Nothobranchius furzeri: one gene and its partner. Each later gene encodes a partner of the first gene's protein in a complex. Links are inferred from orthologs where the notes say so. Each region holds a gene or a part of one and is shown on either strand. Other genes may lie near its edges. The genes, in order: cdhr5b and anks4b.

Region 1 (3,822 bases):
ATCCAGCTCTGACCTTCAGCTCTTGCTGGGTAGGTTCGCGGCTGAGTGTGAAGCAGCTGGGATGAGGATCAGCACCTCCAAATCTGAGACCATGGTTCTCGACCGGAAAAGGGTGGCTTGCCAACTCCGGGTCGGGAGAGAGGTCCTACCTCAAGTGGAGGAATTTAAGTATCTCGGGGTCTTGTTCACGAGTGAGGGTAGGAGGGATTGGGAGATCGACAGCCAGATTGGTTCAGCATCTGCAGTGATGCGGACGCTTAGCTGATCTGTCGTGGAAAAGAGGGAGCTGAGCCAGAAAGCCAGGCTCTCGATTTACCGGTCGATCTACGTCCCAATCCTCACCTATGGTCATGAGCTTTGGGTAATGACCGAAAGAACGAGATCCCGGATACAAGCAGCCAAAATGAGTTTCCTCCGTAGGGTGGCTGGGCTCAGCCTTAGAGATAGGGTGAGGAGCTCGGACATTCGGGAGGGACTCGGAGTAGACCCGCTGCTCCTCCGGATCGAAAGGAGTCAGTTGAGGTGGTTTGGGCATCTGGTCAGGATGCCTCCTGGACGCCTCCCTGGGGAGGTGTTTCGGGCATGTCCTGCTGGCAGGAGCCCCCCGGGTCGACCCAGGACACATTGGAGAGGTTTCATCTCCAATCTGGTCCAGGAACGCCTTGGGGTCCTGCTGGAGGAACTGGTGGAGGTGGCCGGGGAGAGGACGGTCTGGAGTCCCTAGTTGGGATGCTGCCCCCACAACCCGGACCCGGATAAGCGGAGGAAGATGACGACGACGAAAACAGACTAAAGAAGTGAACAAATGGCCACATAAAAGTCTTCATTGCATAAAATTGTGCCTCAGACTGTTTTAATGAACATCTCCTTCTAGATTTGGTGGATTATTAATTTGTGGTGGGTGGAGACATGAGTAATTAACTACCAGCATGGACACTGGGAGTTCCTGAAAGTGGATTTCATAATAAAGTGTGTAGGGTAGAATCAGAGAAATCCTATTGTTGTGCGAGTGTCAACAGCTCCAACTCCAACCCCCTTAAAAAGGAAAATTCCTCATTTTAACAACATTTACTGTAATTGTTATTTGTTTTCAACCTGAAACTCAGTTATATTCTTAGGAACTTTCTTCAGCGACTCCAGATTGAACCCCAACAGAGCATCTTTAGTCCACATCTACACACGGAGTAACTGTTATAATGTCCTACTTTTTAGAATAAGACCAACATCTGTAGAAATTTTGAACATGTTTTTTTTTCTTGTTGCCGCGCCACACAGTGCTGGTGCTCGCAGGTGATCCTGTCAACGTTGGTCAGCCCGTGAAACCCAGATTCAGGGGTTTGCTGTCAGAAAACATCAGATCTGACTAAACCTTTGTGACTTAAATGAGAATATCATTCACTCTCAGTGAAGTGAATTTTTCTGTGACAAGTTAAAACTGGTTTCCAAATGTTGTCAGTATTGTTCAGGATGCTTTCATCCCTTCAAATACGACTTAGAGGTTTTCTAATATGAAATCTGGTTTTATTTAAAAATCTGGTTCAATAAATGAATACATTTAATTTAAATTTCAAAGATGTTTCAATTCAAATGCTGCAAAAGTTTTGAAATTTGGTGCATTTTACTCTGAAATGAAAATGTTCTTTAGTTCATGAGTTTAATTTGTATTTTCTGTGGATAATAATCCAAACGGGATTCGTGTTGTCAGGAAGTCAGAACTTCTATAGTGTTCTAATTTGGAAATTATGAATGTAAGGAATATATTGTTAACTCTTGTCTGATAGATGAGGGGGGAAATTACTTGATCTGATCTTTTTCTTACCTTTTCGACGTTGTTTAATGTAAAGTTTTGTTCTGTACAAAGTTAAATTACAGCAATCCAACCAAACAGAGCCTGGATTTGTATTCTGAACAGTTTAAGGAGACGTGTGTGACGCGTCAAAAAGCAGAACCTGCTCAACTATTAAAACCACTAATGGTGAAAAACATCTAAATGTTGTAGCAACTTCTGCATCAATATTATACAAACTGTTTGAATCATTCTTTTCTGCTGAAAGAGAACTTTGACGTACACGAGCGACCGCTGTTGTTTGCCATCAACTGTCGTGATTGGTTAAAGCAGCTCTCGGCTGTGGGCCCAAGTGCAAGTGGGTGGGCTCAGGTCCGGTAGGCCCCACCCACAACACCAGTGTTGTCTTTCCTGTGGGAAACGGGTAACAATGGCTCTTCGATGGGAAAAGGTTGCCGACCCCTGGCTTACACCAAACACGTGTTCTTATACTTGATGTTGGATTTTGTCTCCATCAGACTAATAACTGAATTTCTTTCTCTACCAACAGTCTGCGACGCCCCTTCCGCCGTAAACTTTGCAGAAAACAACAAAGTGGGCGATCCTGTGACAACCATCTTTGTCCAAGCTGGAGTGATCCTTGAACTGACCTCCACAGACATCCCCTTTAGACTTGATGCAAACCAGCTAATAGCTACAGCTGTGCTGGACTATGAAAACACAGAGGTCAGGACTGATGCTATTTCTGGCTGAGACTCGTTTTTATTCATCAGTTCATATTTTCTTTACTATAGGAATGCTTTCTAATTGTATTTCCAGACCCAAATCTTTTCTGTTGGCGTCCTCTGCAGGTTAGAAGAAGTATCTCAAGTAAGACTGGATTTTATTATTTTAACAATAATGAAGCATTTGAAGCAAATATGTAAAACTAAAGTTAAAACTCCACAGCAGCAACAAAGTTCATTCAGATGAAAGCTTTTGTTTCCAGAGAACCCTCAGAATCACCATTCTTGTGGAAAATCTAAACGACAACCCGCCCGTTTTTGACCAGAATGTGTACCACGCCAGTGCCAACGAGGTAGTATTATAGTAGTATTGTGATTCCGTTGGTGTTTTCTTCCTCCCCCCTGACGGCCTTATGTTGAGGGACATGTCCTCCACAGCTGTCTCCCATAGACACAACTGTAGGAAGGTTTGCTGCCACAGATGCTGATGGACCTCGGATCTTCTACCAGCTGGCATCTTCCCCAGTAAGAATCGAGGTTTTTTCTGGTTTGTTTTGTCATCCTTGATCTCCTTCTCTCACCACTCCAGAGCCATCATCCCAGATCCATGATTTATCTGTTTTTATTTATTGTTTTTTTGATAGAGTGAGTTTAAACTCAAGTCATCCATTATCCCAGAAATCCTCGTTAACGGGCGCCTCGACTATGAAAAAGTCAAAGAGTATCAGCTTGTGCTGGAAGCCCAGGTGAGTATTGCTGTCTGGGGATATTTAGATTTTATTCCACCATAAGGTGGAAAAAACGGCTTATTTTTCTAGAGTAAGCAGCCATTTTAATGTCGTAGGACACGCCGCTGGCGTCACCACCTGAGGAAACCTCTTTTACTGCCACCACAACCATCATGATCTCCATCTTGGATGTTGACAACAGACCTCCTTGGTTCCAACCTTGCCACCAAACTGAAGTGAATGGAGCTGTGGTCTGTGAGACAACTGGCTACACTGGCAAAGTTGACCTAGATGAACAAGTGGTGAGTTGCCTCTGTTCCACAGCGCCGACTCCAGATCAGCTGCTGACAGAATATTTTTATGTGTTGCTGCTTTTGAAAAGCTAAACAAGTGTTTTGTTCCTGTTCAGACTGGAGTCCTACCCCTGAAACCAGGTCCTCTCTATGCCATTGATGGAGACTTTGGGATAAATGAGCCGATTAGATACTCGTTCCTTTCCGGTAAGGAGCTTAGAGTTGCAGTGGTTGTTATTCCTGAAGCAGCTCAGTCTGTGTTTGTGTTTTAGAAAATGAACCGGGCCTTT
Region 2 (4,395 bases), on another chromosome or scaffold:
TAATACGAATTTTGTTAATGGTCCCTAAACAAGCAAAAAATCCTAAACTCTTCTGTTTAAGCATTCAAAGATCAATTAGGTTGATATTTCATATTTATTTGGAATCATCACATCTTATTGGTCATAATTAACTACGTAGATCCATTACAGCTTTCCTACATTGGCTGCCTGTTAAATTCAGAATAGATTTTAAGATCCTCCTTCTCACACATAAAGCTCTTAATAATCAAGCTCCATCTTCCATAAGTGACCTGATTATTCCATATGTTCCTAACCGAACACTTCACTCTCAGACTGCAAGTTTGCTGGTGGTTCCCAGAATATCTAAAAATAGGATGGGAGAAAGTTCTTTTAGCTATCAGGCTCCTCTCCTGTGGAACCAGCTCCCAGCTTTAGTCCATGAGGCAGACACCTTGTCTACTTTTAAGACTGGACTTAAATTATTTGATAGGGTCTATGGTTAAAATCTGATGTTAGCCCAAATCTGGACAAGTGAGGGAGTAGAGGGAGGTGGAGTGTACAGTCGGTAAAAACGACTCTCCCTTGCCCTGCCTCCAACATGCTTCCACCTAAAAGGCTAGGTTATCCAGAGTTATCTCTGTAGTTATGCTGCTATAGGCTTAGACTGCTGGAGGACACACTGACCACTTTCTACACTCTACAACTTTCTTCTACAATTTGCTCTTTAACTGTATTACTTTCTGCTATTTCAGCTGTTTATGTTTTTTCTCTAAGTGTTTTTCTCCCCAGAAGAAGCTAGAATGATGTTCTGCTGAGCTGTGGTGGCCTCATGGAGGGGGCCATTGGCTTGAACACTGTTGCTAACCACTTAAACATTCTCCCTCTCCTGATAATACAATTTAACTTTCTTTGACATTGAATGTGCTACTACTAGTTTACCCATTTAATTATAGATTCACTAGGATAAATACAATAAAGTTTATCTCTCACCAAATAGAATATTTACTAAGAAATCACAATGTAACCATAGAAACACTACTTGGTATATATGTTGTGTGGTGTGTGTGTGTGTGTGTGTGTGTGTGTGTGTGTGTGTGTGTGTGTGTGTGTGTGTGTGTGTGTGTGTGTGTGTGTGTGTGTGTGTGTGTGTGTGTGTGTGTGTGTGTGTGTGTGTGTGTGTGTGTGTGTGTGTGTGTGTGTGTGTGTGTGTGTGTGTGTGTGTGTGTGTGTGTGTGCTCTGTCTTCTCCAGCCCCAGTGAGTCGTGGTGGATGGCTGCTTATTCTGAGCCAGGATCCTCTGGAGGTTTCTTCCTGTTAAAAGGGAGTTTTCCTCTCCACTGTCGCTAAATGCTTGCTTAGTATGAGGATTGCTGTAAAGTCACTGACACTAGTTAGTGACTCGATGCAATTTGCTGGGTTCCTTATGTAGGAAACTTTTAAACTGGTATCCTCTTTAACTGGTCACATGTCTGTTGTGATACTTGTGCTTTCAGGGATGATAGTTAAAGCAGGAACTGACGACATCAAGCTGGACTTTGTTTTATAGCTCAGCTGCTCACACGCCCAGTGATCACTTTGTTTGCTCGGGTCAGCCATCGCTGTTCCAATTCTGTGGTCAGAGGAGGCAGCAACACATTCATTTGAAAGATGTCGAGGTACCACAAGGCAGCGATCGATGGTAACTTGGACCTCTTGAAGGAGGCAACAAGGAAGCACCTGAACACCGCAGATGATGATGGGATGACTCCCACCCTACTGGCTGCTTTTCATGGACACGTCAACGCTCTTCAGCTCATATGCAGCAGAGAGTAAGTTACTTTCTATTATCCAACCAGGATTAGTCTGAAATCAGGCTGTTTGTGGATCAGAACTCTGTCTGTTATTATGATCACTGCTATTCACAAATGAATTATTCCTCCCTAGAGAATTAAATTAAGATTAACAATAAGTCATAAATAACAGCAAAGGAGCAAAGGTCAGCGTTACCGTAGAAGGTGTTTTATGGCTTCTTTTTCATTCAATTGATTTTTATGGGACTTTATTTACACCGGTTGATGTTTTCCATCTTTCTTCCACATTCTCCTTTGAGCAGAGCCAAAATTTTTTATTTGTTCTGTAAAACAAAAGAGCCTTTCATTCAGCCATCTATCCCCCAGTACCCCCACCTTGGCTCCATTAACAGCAACAAAGGACTGGTTAAAATCTAGCCTGAGACCCAGAGAATATGTTTGATACATGACCTAAATCAGAAGTTAAGTCTTTTTATCAGAACCAGTCAGATCTGGGCTTCATAATAAACTCCTGTAGCGATTAAAGCTTTTATGGCTCCAACAGGAAGGAAAACCATTAAAGGCCTTCCAGTTTAACAGCTCAATAGCAACAGCTCATTCTGTAAACCACTGATTTTAACACACTTATTATGTTATAACACAATAATATTGTGGTTTTTATTTTACTTTTATATTACACAACACAAAGGGAGATTTGTGAAGAGACTGCTTTTTGAAGGTTATCGAAAAGTAAAGAATAATAATAAATGAATAAATAAATAACTATATTTCCCATTCATTTATAAATAAAATAGTTTGATCAGCAAAGCACAAGCATGTTGCCAGCGCTCTTAATGATAAACACTCAGATTAAATACATGGAGACGTGTTTAACCAACGTGTGTCTACTTTTTTTTATTATTTATTTATTTATTTATTTCAAAGAACAAGACGAAAATAAGAACAAAAACATGGAATATTTACAACAACACACACAGAAAAAAACAAAGAATGAAAAGGAACAGAGAGAAGAAAAAAATCTTATTTTTTTTTACTAAAGCAACATAAAATTCATCCCCCTCAACAAATTCAACTTGCACACTCACTTTGCAGACACCATCTTAATTCATATTTATATAATTTCTTAATACATTTAATTTGACACCTTTTTAAAATACATTAAAGAGCAAGTCACCCCCTACCAGAGTCTTACTCCACTCCCACTTCCTGTTTGAAAATGCAACAAATGCCGTTGCCTGAGGGCGAAGCCGCTAACAAACACACACACACACACACACACAGGCTCACAATGGCATTGTAACATCACATGGTACCAGCTGATGTCATAGGGTACCTCTAAGCCAATAACGACAGCAGATTAAAATACACATGCAGTGCTGAGTTTTTACCTGAAGATGGCGCAATACTGACAGTTTGGCAGAATTTTTAAATTTGAATTAAGATGCACTAAAGTGCCTAATTATTGACTACACATGTCTACAGCATGATTAGACACTCATTTTTTTCAGTTTATCAGCAAAAAAAGTTATAATAACTAAGGGTTCGAAACTCGGTTGTAGACTTTCTGCGTGGAGTTGCATGCTCTCCCCATGCATGCGTGAGCTTCCCCCACAGATCACAACATGCCCTATAGGTTGAAACATTGTACGTCACTTTGTACGTCTGCCAAATAAATAAACATAAACATAAATAAAGGGTTACATGGCTCTCTATAGCGAGTGTTACTGATGGCTTTCTGTTAATGCCATTATTGCCATTGAAGTTAGATGTTTTGTCCTAAATCCATATTGTTCATGGTTTAAAATATTATTGTTTTCAATCAATCTATCCAACCTTCATTGAAAAAAAATATATATTTTAAACCTTGAACAGTATCGATCTGACTTAACCACTGATGGTGCTGTAAAAGTCTATCTGTTGTGAGCTCAAATACAATATTTATCATTTCCTTTGCATATAAACACTTTTTTGTTTTTATTCAAATACACATTTTTGCACAGATAATGTTAACTACAAAGAAGAAAACATTATTAATATATATCAGAGTTGGAAAAAACATGATGAAAGTTATTTTGTTCATACAAAAATTAATTTTACTAACTGACAACAATAATAATCTTTGTTTTATCGTTTTTGCAAGGTTTTCTCGACATCTATAATAAGGCCTACTTCGTTTTCATTCCTTTCTCCTCTGCATCTGTTTTGAGCTGCAAAAGACACGTTGTTGAGCTAAACTTTAAAGTTAAAATATGGAACACTTTTCTTATTTTTTAAATAATACCCCCACAGGGCGTTTAGAGGTGCAGGATGAATGTACAGTTTCTCCTTTAAAAGCTATATTTAAAAAATGCATAATCAAATTTTTATTTTGTTGGGCATGACACTGGCTTTATGTTTACATCTACTGGAACAGGGTGCTGAAACGTGTCAGCAGTGAACCAACATCCCAGCTGCTGGAAAATTTGTCCTATTGTTGCAATACCACCTCTGAACACCAGAGTGTCCATGTTCCATATTCAGCCTTTAATGTTTGATTCTCATTTACAATCGATTACTCTTCTGTTGTTTTTGTCTCTTTTGCTTTATCTAGAGGAGATCCCAACAAGAGTGACATCTGGGGGAACACGCCCCTGCACCATGCAGC

Evidence for each region.
Region 2: cdhr5b (region 1) and anks4b share a complex: the UniProt entries of both Homo sapiens proteins name them as parts of the IMAC/intermicrovillar adhesion complex. The link is inferred for Nothobranchius furzeri from reciprocal best matches to the Homo sapiens genes CDHR5 and ANKS4B.

The regions. Positions count from the first base shown.
Region 1 is NC_091754.1:42,619,831-42,623,652, forward strand, and holds part of cdhr5b (cadherin-related family member 5), read left to right. Parts: intron 1-2,336; coding exon 2,337-2,512; intron 2,513-2,605; coding exon 2,606-2,656; intron 2,657-2,774; coding exon 2,775-2,864; intron 2,865-2,949; coding exon 2,950-3,036; intron 3,037-3,155; coding exon 3,156-3,257; intron 3,258-3,355; coding exon 3,356-3,541; intron 3,542-3,648; coding exon 3,649-3,739; intron 3,740-3,804; coding exon 3,805-3,822. UniProt on the Homo sapiens protein: Intermicrovillar adhesion molecule that forms, via its extracellular domain, calcium-dependent heterophilic complexes with CDHR2 on adjacent microvilli. Thereby, controls the packing of microvilli at the apical membrane of epithelial cells.
Region 2 is NC_091752.1:56,799,460-56,803,854, forward strand, and holds the start of anks4b (ankyrin repeat and SAM domain-containing protein 4B), read left to right. Parts: upstream 1-1,377; 5' UTR 1,378-1,608; coding exon 1,609-1,769; intron 1,770-4,341; coding exon 4,342-4,395. UniProt on the Homo sapiens protein: As part of the intermicrovillar adhesion complex/IMAC plays a role in epithelial brush border differentiation, controlling microvilli organization and length. Plays a role in assembly of the complex.